Linked DNA regions of Oreochromis niloticus. The protein of the gene in region 1 purifies or fractionates together with the protein of each later gene. This does not show direct contact. Links are inferred from orthologs where the notes say so. Each region holds a gene or a part of one and is shown in the gene's direction. Other genes may lie near its edges.

Region 1 (7,564 bases):
GTAGTAAATGATTTCATACGAGTGTCTTTAAATCATTCATTTTTAAAAGCTGTGGTGTCATCCCTTGTTTCCTAACAGGAATGAATGCCTTTAGCAGCAGTTTGCTTGATCATGTGACGTTAAAGCTATTGCCTTCATACGCACACATACTCTCAACAAATCGGGCTGTTGCTGGGGTGGAGGGATGCTTTGTTCTGATTAAATAAACTCTTACTAGAATCCAACGTAGTTGACGTGGTTTCACCTCTGCACAGCTGGAAGCATGAATGCTCTGTAGAGGTGTCAACAAGTCCTCAGTTTGTAAGTACAAGCGCGTCAATGGTTTTGTGCGACCCTTCTCAGGTAAGTGACAAGCATTGTTATGCAATGCTCCCAATTTTAGGATGAGGGCTGAAATAGTCAACTTTGGGGCTTCAAGGTTTCAAGGTCTTTGTATAATAACAGTATTATAGTATAATAACAATATTTTACTGTACAGTTTTCAAGCTACCATTCATTTTTAGTTAAAGGAGACCTATTATGCCCATTTCCAGGTCTCAGTTTTTATTTTTGGACCTTATTAGAATAGTTTTGCAATAAGCCATCCTAACCTTAAACCCTTTAAACCAGCTTTCTTCTGATTGGCTGCCCCTCGTAAAAAGACAAAAACAAAGGGGGTTTGCAGGTGTGTGCAGCAAAAGCTATGTGCCTAAGATGACCATATTAGGGATATCTCCTTTCAGTGACTTCATACGGAGCCAAGAGTAGAAAAAAACTGTCTAAAACTGTAACTGTAAACTATATTTGAATGATTATACCTCTTTGGTTTCTATCTGTCTAGGGGGGCATGTATGTCTTTCAGCTCTTTGATTACTACGCAGCCAGTGGCATGTGTCTTCTCTTCATGTCCATCTTTGAGACAGTTTGCATTGCGTGGGTTTATGGTAAGCAAACAGAACTGCATGTAAGATTACAGCACAAGCTTTGACGAGTAATTCTGAGTGTTCACCCAAGTTACTAGCAGACACCCAGCTGGGAGTTACATTGTGCCACGATGACATGTGTCTAAATCGTGTTTTTCCAGGCGCTGATCGCTTTTACGATAACATTGAGGATATGATTGGTTACCGGCCAGGACCGTATATCAAGTGCTGTTGGTTGTTCTTCTCCCCTGCCACATGCATTGTGAGTCTCAGTAAAATAGATAAAGTTCCCAAAATGACAATAAATGTTCTATTAGCGAAAAAAAAAAAGAGGAAATAAAGCAGGTTTTTGATCCTCACTAATTGCCGTACCCTGTTACCTTGTCTCTGCAGGGCACCTTTGCATTCTCCCTCATTAAATACACTCCTCTGAAGTACAACAATGAGTATGTGTACCCGTGGTGGGGATATGTGATCGGCTGGCTGCTTGCTCTCTCCTCCATGGTCTGCATCCCACTGTGGATGGTGTATAAGATCAGCACCACCCAGGGGACACTCAGAGAGGTATGCTGATCATCCTGTCAGTGGAAAACATGCGCCCAACTCGTGTGCTCCCGATTTTAATCTTTGTTTGCTCATTCACAGCGCATCCAGTTGCTCATCAGACCATCTGACGACTTACCTAAAACCAAGAGGGAGCAGGAGAGGTTACTGGCTATCTTTGCTCCAGAGGTAGACACCACCAAGACTACAAATGGCTACTTCCCGGTCTCCGAGGCAGACTCCAACTTGTGAGGCTTCAGTGGTCTGTGGGATCCACTGACTTTAATACATAACATACATGGTGGACTCAGGCGAAAGTAGTGGCATGACGATTTTTGAGTGATAAAATAGGGCAGAAGAAATTAAAAAAGTAGCCTGCCATTTGAATTAAGAACTTTCAGAGTGGAAAGGAGAGTTTTTCAGGGACAAAAGTAATTTAGACAAACTTGTTCTTGAGTCTGGGAATCCATCGGTAAAGTTTATAAGTAACCCAAGAAAAGCAAAGTCATGGGAGGAACAGCTGAATCATTGGATGTTCCATAACACTTAGAGAGCAACTTCTTAATGCTCCTTTATGTATCTGACAACACTGCATGGCTGTTTTGTCATATTTGTATCATATTGTTATGTTGTGATAAATAACTGCAGAGGTTTTCCTTTTGTATTTAGGGAAAATGAGATTATGCTTAACAGTAGACATAATAGGATGCAGAATAAATACTTGGAAATGCAGAATACTGATATGGACTAATATGGTATATAAACTGTAGTTTCATTTTTTGTACTGTAACGTATAATGACTGTACAAAGAAACATTACTGTTGTAAGTGCGGATTGAAAAATAAACTTTGTAAGTTGTCCTGAACCATTTTTTCTTTGCTCTCCGAGGGGAACTTCCTAAAGTCTGAAAAAATAATCCAGATTCGGGGATGTGGATGTTAAGCATGGAAGCTTTAAGGGGGGGAAAAAAGAGTCGCATAGTCTTTTTCACAGCAGCCATTGTTCTTTTCTGCTTAGGCACAGACCTTTAACTAATGTGATCAGTAACGCCTGTGTTTACCTGCTATTTAAATGGAAACTCTGGTGGATTAAACACACTATTATCTTACTCAGGCTTACACCTATAGTACCTCATTCCTTGTGTACACTGGCTTGTAATACAACTGGATTTAAAACAGGTTGGTGCTTGTAGGTGAACACTTGTGACAATAGCACTAAAGGAGTGCAAACTTCTACTTCAAAGCTCACCTAAATGCTTGCTGGGTTCATTTCTCTAAAACATGTTATTCAAGTTGGAACCTGCAGCAAAACACCACTCTTTGTCAGGTTTAAACCACAGACTATATATAAACGTAGGATGTAGTTACTGCTGAAAAAGTGAAGCCACTGTGAAAGTGCCTTACAGCTGCATTGGTTTTCATAGCTAGCAAGAGAGAGCAATAGTCACTGCTAAATACAACATGAAGTTCATTTTGAAAATTATGCTATTTTCAATTATATAATTATATAATAAGTTTTTAGTGTCTGTTGTCTGGTTTAACAAAACTTGATGGAGTTGAGTAACACCAAAGGTATGTTTCAATCCACACACTTGTGTACAATCTTTATATTAGAAAATGAATAAATACAAATGAATACATTTGGCTGATACAAAGGGACATGTCACATGTGCATGTTGGGTTTTGAGACTCTTCAACTTTAACTTTGTACAAATCCACAAATGCATGCAGCATTCAAGTGCTAGTGGAAAACTGGAGCATCTGGGCTTCCTGTGTCTTTTGAACATGCACCTGCTGCTACAAATGTAACTTTAAAAAAAGAAAATCAGTCCGTAACAATCAAAAGTCTCCAATTTTATGAAAATGGAGAACAAATCACCAACAAATCACATCAGGATTTTACTGATATGTTTTTTTTTCTTCATAAAATCATGTTCTATAAAGTGATAAAGTATAACATCTGCGGACTTTGCAAGTGCTTAGCTTGTATAAAGTATGCTATTAAAGGTACCCGTTTAGTTTCAGTTACTTTCCAGAGTTGGATTATTGTTTACAGTTAGTTTTTAAAAAAATATATTGTTATTGCTTTATTAATATTGACTGGTTTCTGTCTTAGTTATTATTATTATTATATGAGCAGTATTTGGCAAAGGTAAAATTTCAGAAGTTCATAATCTTCTATTACAGTGGAACTATTTGACTTGCAGTCATGTAGAAATCCCAGTCTCAGTGAACATGTGCACCACTGTGTCACGATGTTGAGTGTGTTATCAAGGTACACCTGAGTAGCTATTGCAGGAGTAGGTTTGTAGATTGATCAATAGCTCGAGAGATACTTTATTTTATAGTCCTTTGCAGGAAATTATTGTTATGGCAGTTAAACACAGACATAACATGGCACAGCCCAGCAAAACAATATTAATTCATAATAAAATGAAAAATATATAAATAAATAAAACAGCTATGTGCAAATATGCAAACGTGGATACAATCATATTATTTTTATTATTGTACATTGAAAGAATATGAGCTTTCAATATTCATTCAGATTTTTCTTTTGTCATTTGTCAGCTTTTCTAATGTACATTTTAAAGATATTCAACTACTTTAGAGCTTTGAAAACTCAAATCATTGAGCTTTCAGCATTCAGACCACATTTTCTTCAGGAACTGCATTCACTTGTTAATTGTTTTCCTTTTCCAGGTGTAGGATATGTTATAGTGTGAGGTAACTGGCAGTTCATAAAACTCTGCTTTCACAGTACTTTTCCCAAAATTGCAATATTATAGATGGTTCAACGTTCAGATTCTTTATATTGGGATTTTCTCTTCTACAGTGTTCACGGAGTGTTAAAAAGTGTCACTTGTGTTGTTTCCCCTCATTGCTGGTCTTTATTTTTAAAGGCACAGTTTCTTTCTCAGCTGTAAACCCGTGCATCCACAATGATGGAGCACTTTTGAAACATTTTCTAGAATAATTTTGCCACTGGGTGTCACGCTTCCCCTGTGATGATTGGCTGCAGCAGCGGCGTCGCTCTCTACGTGCCTCTATGACGCGCCGCTTTTTTTCCCACCATGCACCGGGGAATGTCTAAGGAAAGATGGCGGAAGGAGGAGCGGCTGATCTGGATACCCAAAGAGGAGAGGTCGCGACACTGTTGAAAACACAACTAAGAAAGGGAGACACTTGGTAAGAATTGACTGTGATCTTTTCAAGGGCACTGCGTGGCTCTGGGCTGGGTCTGCTGAGGCTGTCAACCCCACGGAGGATGTGAAATCCAGACGGCCGGGCCGTGTTGACAGTGAGCTCCGAGCTAGCTAACGGCTGCCTGTCAGCTTCATGTGTCAGCTTGGCAGGCTAGCGCTGGTTGAGCTCACGCTAAGACTCAAAACAGTTAAACTAAATTTAAATGTTGTATTTTGGTGTTTATATCCTTCACTTCCAAAAAACGGTGTCACATATTTTCTGTGGATGTGTAAGGCTACATGCCGTTTGAGTGATACAGATAGTTATCAGGCTATCAGCTAATTGGCTAGCTTGCCGATGATCCAAGCGGTTTGCCTGTCAGTGGGTTCATCCGCCGACTTCAGCAGGGCGGAGTCGGAAAAAAACACCTGTCAAAATCACAGAGCCAGCTGGCTAGGCTTGTAGCAATTTGAACTCAACACGGCGGCTAAAAGCTACTGTTACAACTGTCAGTCTGTGTAATGTATGCCTCCCAAAACCAGATTTGTTTCGGGTACTCACTGCAAGGTAGCCCCAAGGTAACCTGGTTTATAGCCCAATACTTTAATGCAACCCACCACCCCTTTTATTTAACTCTTGACTTTCACATCTTGCTTTTAGTAGAGATGTTGTAATCTTGATTGCTTTCTCTGCAGGTACCTAGTGGACAGTCACTGGTTCAAACAGTGGAAGAAATATGTGGGATTTGACAGCTGGGACAAATACCAGATGGGAGACCAGAATGTCTACCCAGGACCGGTTGATAACTCTGGTCTTCTCAAAGGTAAGTCCAGTAATAGTCCATCTCTTTAGATCTCTATTTTATCCCTTCTAAAAGTATATGATAAATGTATGGGAAAGCAGTTTTTGGTAGGTTAGCTTTATGGACAAGTGACATACACGCACACAAAAAACATTGTCTACTAACCAGAGAGTAGCCTTTCTTTAGAGTGGGGTCATAGAAAGCTCTCCAGCTCACCTTGTTCTTTGTGTGTTATCAATAGTGTAAGTGTTGACCCACAGAATGTGCACAAGAGAACGTGCTTTCTCTTGTTTAACTGCATGTGAATGACCATCCCTCCCTCTAGATGGGGATGTGCTCGCCATCAAGGAACACCTCATTGATGAGCTGGACTACATTCTGGTCCCAACAGAAGGCTGGAATAAGCTCGTCAGCTGGTATGGACTCACAGAGGGTCAGGAGCCAATCGCTCGCAAGGTAAGGGTTCAGTTATTAGCATAAGATTATGAATGGATTTTTTTACATGTTGTTCTGCTGCCAGTTCAGATGGTTTTCTCAGATACAGAATCAGTAGATTTAATGTGCAGTGTGACTTGTGTTGGGGTAAAAGGGAGAACATTGTGCTAATAAGGCTGTTTGAGAAAATGAGACACGCAGCACTTTTGGAAAAGGAAACTTGAACTTGGGTCACTGTTGCTGAACAGTGATAGTGAAAGGCTCTATGATGACAGATATTTAACAAAAAGAACTGCAAAGAATAGTTAACCATTACATTCATTTTTGATATAATTTGGTTGGTCAGGTAGATTTACACAGATTTACTCTGTGTACACTACACAGAATCTCAGAAATAATAGTGAAAGACTGGGTGTTTACTTATCACAAAGAAATTTAAAAAAAAAATAAAGCTGCCTTTCATTCATTTCTTTTATGAATGAAACGCAGTATGTGTGCTTATCTATTTCCATATTAGCATAAGAGTATGTGAGGTTTGCTGGAGTAAAAAAAATGAAGAATTCCTATATGTTTGTGATTACAGTTGAATACTGTGTGATGGCACTTTTGCTATCAAAGCAACTCTTAAAATCTCGCTAGTCATGGCATCATGGCTGCTGGAAGCACTTCCTCTTCCCTCTCCATATCTATCAGTCTGTCTCTCGTCTCCCCCCCTACATTGACCCTCCTCTTTTGCCATGTATGTCATGCGGCGTATCGGGTAGCTGCAAGGTTTCTATTTTCAGGCAACGTTCTGGATGACTGAAAAGCTACATGGAGCGATCTGCGAGACACAACATGAAGGAGGTTTTCTTCTTCTTTTTACCCTATTGTTTCTATATTGTCAACTTGAGGGTGGGGGGTATGCTGGGGGGAACTGTAGGATTGTAGTCATTGGTATGACACTGTGGCTCCTTCCGCTTTCCACTTGTGGTTTGATTGCCAACAATGGTGGAGAGCTCCTGCGTCCTTGTTTTCCAAGCGGAGGAATGCCAGCTGAGGTCACACTGAGAGAAGCAGCGCGAAAGCTTTTCAAAGGAGTGTGAGGAGAGGCAAACCAGTATAGGAGAAGCGGCGTGGGTGGCCTAAATGGTTTTGGCTCGGCTTTGATTTGAGAAACTGTGTCAGAGCTTGGTGGTGAGTTGGACGTTGACTGAGCTCACAGACAGATGGGTGGTGCGCTGAGGTGTACTAGCCCACCAAGAGCCTTGAGTAGGGGAGGGTTGTGGTGCTGAGAGAATCTAAGCTGTGTGTGAAGGACTTTTGCAGTTTAGTAGCGTCAGTGTCTGTGTGTTGGAGGGGCTCAGGGGTGAAATAAATAGGCTGGGACCCCTCAGCTGTTTCCACGAGGTGCTGCTAATTTAGGCACTTCACTCTGACTGTGAAGTATCAGGACTCCAGATGAGTAGAGACCAGCGCAGCAGAGCTTAGTGTGCTTTGTTATCCATTTTGTTAAACTTTTTCTAGCACATTAAACTTAGGAGTTTGCTTTCAGTCTTGCAGGAATTTGATGAAAAGGAGATAAGAGTTGCATCATGATTATTTTTGCCAGGTTGGTGTCACAGTTTCTTTTTGGGTGCCTAAACTTCTGTCAAAGCTAAGCTCAGCCATGATAACAATTGGACAAACATCTTACAGTCAAAGGCTTCTGCTGGAAC
Region 2 (8,063 bases), on another chromosome or scaffold:
CAGTCTGCATTCAACCAACTCACAACATCATACACATCGAGGAACAAGCAGTTGGAATTCTGCATGGGAAGATTTTCATTGGTTGAAAGCCCCTCTCTTCAGGCCCTCTGTAGGTAAATATCTCTGCAAGCAGACACAGTTGTGGTGCTATGAATTAAGCATAAGTGGAGTTAAGTGAGCGATACCGTGTAGCTCCTGTGAAGGACTCATCCCACACAAACATTCGTCCACAAACATCACGCAATTGCTTAAAGGGACAAAAAAAATGACTGACATCAGTATCACAATTGAGCCTGGGCACTCGTCCATGTAGGACAGTTAAATGCATGCAGTTTCACGCCAGTGGCCTTTAAAGAGAACTAGGTCACTGAGGCCTCCAGCTTTAACATGACAAAGATGTAATCCCTTAACCCAAACCAGACTAAAGAAATCTGAAAGTAGATGCTCTCTGTGAGAGGTTTATCAAACAACACCTTACAGATTAGTTCATCTCATACTGAAAAGACAAAAGCCCCTTGGACAAGACAAAATGCTTCTCATATGAAAACTTGAATCTTATATAACATCTATAATAACTCTTTGAGCTTCAGTGCACTTTGCACGTGTAATTGGGTGTAAAATAACATTGTTGCATCTCAACGTGTCAGGCTCACTTTGATCCAACTTAAAAGTCTGGATTGATTAAAAGTTATTAATATTGAATTGAGGGGTTTCTTTGTATTGACTGACCACTGGCTGCAGGGCACGAGCTACATACTGAGCAACTGTCGGCTAAAGATGAAGTTCTGAACTTACACCCCAGTCCTCAGGTTTTACCCAGCATTAACTTAGCAGTTTATCCTATACCAAGTAAATACAGGGCCAGAATTACCAATACTGATACCAACACTTTTAACCTATAAAGTTAGCTTATATAGGGGAGAGCAGTGTGTCATGATTTTTGAGATGAATCATTATTGATTTGCAAATTCTGAACACACATGAACACTCGAACACTACACGATTTGATGTTTACATTCCACATTTTATAATAAAACACACTTTCATACTTTCATGTATTTTGAAACTAAATGTTTTGTAGATCAAGAATTAAAATCTCTAGTCTCTAAAGCGCTTTGTCAGCTTCTGTTGTTTAAATATAGGCTGTAAATCTACTAGACCTGGCAGGCGACAAAAAGGTACATTTTTCATAGTTCATGTTTGTGTTATATTTTTTTTCATTTCCAAAAGAATAAGAATTTATTTAACACTATTCAGTGGGCTACATACAGAATTTTGAGGATAGAAAGTATCGATCCTATCGTGCTAGTATCGATCCGATACTGATACCAGCGCTGGTATCGATATTATCAATATTTGGAGTAATACTTTTCTTAATCATTTCAGCTAAAACTGAAGATCACGACCTTCATGAAGGTAAAATTTATCGCCAGGCTGTTGCATTAGACTTTGACATTTTTAGCGTAGGAGAGTAACTCACTCTTTGAACATTCAGTTGGCTAAAAGGAGTCTGGGGCAGGTTGGTAGGTCTGTAGCTAACATTAGCATTCTGGGATAAAATGTGGGTCATACCGCATGTCTGAGCACAAGACTGAAGCTTTCTCTCATTCATTATAGAGCAAACCCCACTGGAGATGCTGATAATTGTACATTTTTCTCAACACACGATGAATAGGTTTTTTTCCTCCTTTTTTATGCTTTTTCACAGCATGATTTGTTTATTTTTTTTTTAAACAGGCTGCGTCATTTACCAGTGTGGGTGTTTTCCATCCTTCCTGTTGTGACATCGGATGTGCAAGTTGTGAATTTTTAAAGTTTTCTCTTATCTATTTAATTAAAGTTGCCTTATTTCTATCATTCTTATCTCCCCAGTGACTGGCTGCCTGCCTGCATGCAGTCTTCACCCTATTCTTAACATTCTCATTCACACATAATAAGCCTGTTTAATTGCATATGTGTGACCCCCACTCGTCTGAAACCAGTCACTGTGTCAATAAATTATAGTAAAGGCTTGGGCTGCTGTCTAGAATATTAATCATCCCTCTTGCTGTGTAATGCTGTTTTAGCCAACTGCACGCCCTCATTTGAATCACCTCTGCAGGGTCACTTGATTGAGCTTAACAAGGCTCTTAAAGCAACAGCTCAGCAGCTTTTAGAAATACATTTATTCACTTTTTGTTGAGACTTAGATGAGCAAGACTGCTGTATATATGCCTTATGAATACATAAGGCTGAAGCTGGAAGCTAGCTCAGCACAAAGACTGTGAACAGGCGGGGAAACATGAAACTAAGCCTGCTGTATGTAGCCTTAGGATGTGAGAACATTAGAACCACACTCCAGTTGTCAACCAGAAAGCACTTCCAGCTCCATTTTTATTTTTGGACCCTGCTGGAGTAGCTTTTGCACAGTTCAGAGTAATAATTCATTTTATACTGGATGATGGTACAGCCCCCTTGGGTCATCCACTTTCTGAAATGAGCAATTCCTTTCTCTTTTAGCCAGCTTTCTTCTGATTGGCTGCCCCTTGCAAACAAAGGGTTTAAGCACCAGGTGGATGGGACTGCTGCGCTAAAAGCTAGAGCTTCAAATTTTGAAGCAGATGGGTTACAGCAGCAGAAGACCACACCAGCTGCCACTCCTGTAGACCAAGAACAGGAAACTGAGGCTACAGTTCTCATGGACTCACTGTACAAATCACCTTACACTGGTTTGTTGAACATGTCAGTGAGTTCACTGTACTCAGATGGCCTCCACAAACACCAGATCTCAATCCGATAGAGCAGCCTTGGGATGTGGTGGCATGGGAGATTCACATTGTGGATGTGCAGCCAACAAGTCTGCAGCAACTGTGTGATGCTATTATGTCAGTATTAACCAAGCTCCCAGAGGAATATTGCCAGCATCTTGTTGAATCTGTTGTACGAAGAATTAAAACAGTTCTGAAAGCAAAAAGAAGTCCAAAGTGGTTCTATCGATATGTACAGAGTCCAGTGAGTGCATGTCGTTTTAATGGCTGTACTGTCATACTGTCAAAAATCCAATAAAAGACCTTGACGTGTTAGTTTGGAGAGGTGTGGGGGACAGGTTCCACAAATATAGTGTTCGCAACACCAAATTACAGGACTCCACCAAGCATGTGAATGCACCATTCAGTATTTACTTCAGTTATTATCAGGTGTGGTTTAAAAATACATGAAAACGTTATCAGGCAGGGAGGAAAAAATATATATATTAATGAGTCCTAGTCCTGCACCTTATTGCAGACATTCCTCGCCAGACTGAAATGGAAACTGGTTAGATAAAATTGGCTACTTCCTGGAGTCTGGGGAATAGTCAGTCACACACACAAAAGGAAGGGCAGGGAGAAGTGGAGAGGGAGAGAGGGGGAGAGGGGAGGGGACAGCGTGCGTCTGCAGCGACTTCCACAATACCTCTGACAGACCCTTTCCCCTGACTGATTGCTTCCAGACTTCTTCAAAAAAAGAAAAAAAAAGAGGCGCAGTCCCCTGCGTTGTTTGGGCTGTTGAGTCTCCTCCTGCTCGGCGCCAGTGGGTGATCCTGGGACAATGCGGGTAGCCCGACCCCCATCCGTCGACCCCCATGCACACCTCTGCCCCCACCCCCCTACCCAGCCCCGCACATCTCTGCAATCATCATTATCAGACACCCATCCCATCTGCCCCCGGAGCACCCCTGTCACCTCCTCCTCTGGACTTGTGTCTGTGGAGGTAAACCCATGAAGCCATGTAGGTAACACACACACAAACACAGACACACGCATATTATTCATGCGCACGTTGCAAAGGGTTTGGTAGATGCTAGGAGATCCTATCTGAGGGCCTCGGACACTTTGGGTTCAAAGTGTGAATCATTTATTTATTTATTTGAATAAAAATGAGTTTATTGAGAGAACAGATCATTTATGTGTGCCCATATAGAGAAATAAGCTGTCACACTTAAATGACGTTGTTTGTGTTTTGCCTCTTCAGCGACACACAATACGGCAAAACAGATCGAAACGGTAAGAATCAAACCGCTGCGCCTGTCATAATAAATATGGATTCGGCCGATAATAAAGACAGCAGTCATGTGGGCACATCCCATCTGTTGTCAGGCAAGTCGGGAAAGTGATGGGCAAGAGCGCTGGATGAATAAAAGAGGGTGGAAACCGCCGTGTTGATGATTAAAAGGCAGAAAACTGGTGATGCTCGTCCCACCTGGAAACCAAACGTCCAGAGGGCGGCAGCAGCGCGCTCCCGTCTGGCTTTGGGACACAGTGGCCGCTCTCGCTCTCTCGCTCTCTCTCTCCCTCCCTGTGTTAAGTCTTGCAGGCACATTTTTTATACGTTAAAAAAATCCCTAATCTGAACCAGCTTCATCTACGACCCGACATATCCGGTGAGTGGTTGAAGTGTCGCCCTTGAGACCATCCTACGCAGCCCCCTCCCAAGCCAAACCATCCTGAGTAATCATGATGACAAATGCGCAAATGTTATATTACGAGAAAAAAGGTGGAAATCAGAGTGTTTCTAGCTTAAATGACACACACTCACACATCAGCAACAGAGCTGCTTTAATACGAAGCCAGTGTTAGTAAAGCTGAGATAACAGAGCTATTAGACGTTGTTGGAGCTTGAAAAGAACATTTGAGTTTACAATCATCAAGTAAACTTAGAAAAAACTTTTATATGACACAAAGGGGCCAAATTTACGTCATTATCGCTCTGCCAATTATTCAGCATTAAACAGTGACGAGAGAAATTTCTTGTAAGACTTTATATCATCTCACAGTTTCTCAACTGCCCTTTTATTTTCAACTTTACCCTTCTGGCAACTTTTTGCCCCCAAACTTTCCTCCTTTCAAAGGTTTTCGTGTGTGTGTGTGTGTGTGTGTGTGTGTGTGTGTGTGCGCCGCAGGCTCTGCTTGATCTGTTGTTTGCGCAACACACAATCACATTTCTTTTAAGCGACAGGGTGTCTAGACACACACGTGACCGGGCGCGTCAATGCGCACTGGAGACTGGAGACGGAGCAAGGGCACCCAAACCATCCGCCTCATTTACAGAGAGCCTCATACTCCCCCTCGAGATCGCAGTCGGCGGCTCGCTCTCTCTTCCACGGAAACTTCGCGTGAGATACGAGCTTGGGATTATTTTAACGCTCAGACAAGAAAAAGAAAAAGGTTCGCCTGTGTGCTGAAACAGGTCGAAAGGCTCGGCGGCTGGACGAGTGTTCTCTCTCTCTCTCTCTCTCTCTCTCTCTCTCCGGGCTTTAGAAACGCAACTCAACTTGGGTGAGAGATTCAGACCTGGATTTTTGCTCCTTGGCTCATCTCAACTCGGGCAGACCACATCCTCTGCAGACGATTGGCATATTTGGACGATAGCGGATAAACAAATAAATAAATAAAAAAAAGCCTCCGCATGCCCGGTGGAGAACCGCACTCTGTGCAGTTTGGATCACGGATTTTTGTGGATTAATGCTCCTGAAGACACGGCAGCGAGCTTCGGTTTTCATGGGATAATTGCCATAGCATTTTAGGCTTAATTAGGCCCCACGTTCTGTAATTTCCATTAAAGCTACTGCGCACTGGCAGAAAGCTTTTTTTCGTTCTTTTTCTTTGCTTTTCTTTTTTTAAAAGCAGTGTTTATTTGCTGAAAAATCTGCCTGGAGTATTTTTAAGGGGTCAGCTCACTGCTCTGGGTTGCACATCACCAAGTGAAAATTGTAACACATCTAGGCTCCGCGCAGCAGGGTTGCTCCCCCATTCGCTATTAACGATCACATTCTGCTAGGTTTTCGTCATCAGACACAAGTCTTAAATTCCCGATGGTGATGGTGACTTATCCCCGGAGGAAAAGTTAACTGTCCCGTGAACCCTGCCTGCTTTTTTCTTTCTTTTTGGTGATCTGGGGTGCAGGAGACGGCGAAAGAGACTGGCGTATGCTACAGATTTCCTCTGCTTGTCCAGACCCCAGTTTTTCCACCGTCTTTTCTCAGGCTGCTTATCACCGCCTGGACTCGGATCCCGGAATCTTCATGATTTGCGGACACAATGCTCGTTTTTTAGCCGGGAAACCCTCTTTTCGTCCCGCATGTTTAGGACCAAACGATCGGGGCTCGTCCGGCGACTCTGGAGGAGCCGTGCGCCCGTGGAGGGCGACGGGGAAACGGATAGAGGGACGCATGGCTCCGGGGGCTGCTGCTTGGGCAAAACGACAAAGGTGGCCAAGTCCAACGCAGGGTCGGAGGCTGAATTGAAGGCGTTGACCCACTCGATACTGAAAAAGATCAAAGAGAAACAATTGGAGGTGCTTTTGCAGGCAGTGGAGTCCAAAGGGGGTGCCCGCAGCCCCTGTTTGCTCCTGCCCAGCAAAGTGGACGCCAAAGTGGGTCAACAGTCTTACTCTCTCCCCATGCTGCTCTACAAAGTGTTCAGGTGGCCGGACCTCAGGCATTCCTCGGAGTTGAAGAGGCTGTCTTGCTGTGAATCCTACGGGAAAATCAACCCAGAGCTCATTTGCTGCAATCCCCACCACATGAGCAGGCTCTGTGAACTCGGTGAGTTGGATTTTTATGAAAATAGACATTATCTATTTATTTATTTATCTGTTTATTGGCAGCAAGTATTTTGAATTCTCTGGCATTCTCTGGCCTTATTTCAGAGCAAGTTCAAGTTCAATTACCTAAAGAGCTAATTAGCCTAATTCAAATGACATCACTTCTGTTGGCACAGTTGTGTTGAGTTTCCATAAGGTCAAACTAGCGTGCTGAGACCCCCCACCCCCCAAACCCCCCTCCACCTTCCCATCTTTTCGGAAGTGTGGCGTCATTAAATCCGAGTTTGGCATGTCATTTGACTAAAATAATAATTGATTGATTGGCCGTGTTGTAAAAACGGTAACGTGTATCCAAACATGCTTTATTTTATGTTTTTTTGGCACTTCAAATATGCGCTTTCCAAACAACAACAAAGCCTTTCTGCTATTTAAACCTTTCATAGATGGCATTTCCAAAGTGCACAGGGCTTTACAGTCTTCCAGTCTTTCCACAGTGAAGTTTTTCCAGGGTCTCTGTGTGTATGTGCGTGCACGCGCTCGCTCGCTCGCCTGAGTGCGCGCGTTTGCTTGGCGTCCCGGGCCAAAAGAGGCCCGTATCTCAGTTTGTCCTAGACGCTGATAGTGGCCCTTCTGGCGCCAGGCGGCCCCCCCCTGTTTATCTGCCTGCCAATGAAAGGCAATAGCCGCCCAGCCGGCCTCTCAGCCTGCCTCTCCAGGCGGAGCTGACAGACACAAATCTTTTTCCCCTGAAAAATGACAAATCTTATCATAAAGTTTCGATCTCTCCCTTGTTTTCCCCCTTTTTTTTCCTCATGTACTCATTTTTTTTCTCCATACAGAGTCTCCTCCTCCACCATATTCCCGCTATCCCATGGACTATCTTAAACCACCAGGTGAGCTTGCTGTTCATGCATAAATACATGCATTCATGTTATTGCCAGAAGCGCATTTGTTTTTGCATAACATTTCCATCTAAAAGGCTATATTGCATTTATGAATGTTTGTGTTGTCTGTGCCTCTCCAGTGCGTGTGTGTGTGTGTAGGAAATGGCTCCATGTTATGTTGTGATTTATGATAGCAGTGGAGTGGCACGCCTGGCTGACTGGCTAGCCATTTCCAGCATGGCTGACAGCCAGGGCAAGGCAGTACAAAGTTGAGACACCAGCTATAGACTGACTGACTGGCACATCACCGGGGGCAGCCTGTGTGTGTGTGTGTGTGTGTGTGTGTGTGTGTGGCTAAAGGGGGGGAGGGAGTTTGTTTGTGTGTTCGTCTATCTATTGTGAATCGCAGCACAGGGAGAAACAGACAGACAGCGGCGTCTCTGGAGCCAGCCAGTCTTTATCAGCTGAATTAATCAACAGAATGAGGGTGAGGGCTTGTGTGTCTCTAGTGTGTGTCTGTGTGTGTATAGCTGGGGGTGTCACTGTCCCCATTTCCCGGTTTGATGTCTTACAGAACAGAAGAGAGGCTTTGTTGTAATTTCTTCCACATCTAAAGCG

The links. Proteins that work in one complex are often made in the same cells at the same time.
Region 2: the proteins of usp15 (region 1) and smad7 purify together in Homo sapiens (affinity purification with western blotting; 3 studies listed by BioGRID). This does not show direct contact. The link is inferred for Oreochromis niloticus from reciprocal best matches to the Homo sapiens genes USP15 and SMAD7.

Annotation. Positions count from the first base shown.
Region 1 is NC_031981.2:6,282,583-6,290,146, reverse strand, and holds the start of usp15 (ubiquitin carboxyl-terminal hydrolase 15), read left to right. Parts: upstream 1-4,505; 5' UTR 4,506-4,544; coding exon 4,545-4,633; intron 4,634-5,325; coding exon 5,326-5,453; intron 5,454-5,757; coding exon 5,758-5,888; intron 5,889-6,621; exon of another isoform or gene 6,622-6,680; coding exon of another isoform or gene 6,681-6,713; intron 6,714-7,564. Other genes in the region: sodium- and chloride-dependent GABA transporter 2, read left to right, coding at 821-923, 1,064-1,164, 1,296-1,466, 1,548-1,697. UniProt on the Homo sapiens protein: Hydrolase that removes conjugated ubiquitin from target proteins and regulates various pathways such as the TGF-beta receptor signaling, NF-kappa-B and RNF41/NRDP1-PRKN pathways.
Region 2 is NC_031972.2:18,262,488-18,270,550, forward strand, and holds the start of smad7 (mothers against decapentaplegic homolog 7), read left to right. Parts: upstream 1-4,976; 5' UTR 4,977-6,096; coding exon 6,097-6,562; intron 6,563-7,400; coding exon 7,401-7,454; intron 7,455-8,063. UniProt on the Homo sapiens protein: Antagonist of signaling by TGF-beta (transforming growth factor) type 1 receptor superfamily members; has been shown to inhibit TGF-beta (Transforming growth factor) and activin signaling by associating with their receptors thus preventing SMAD2 access.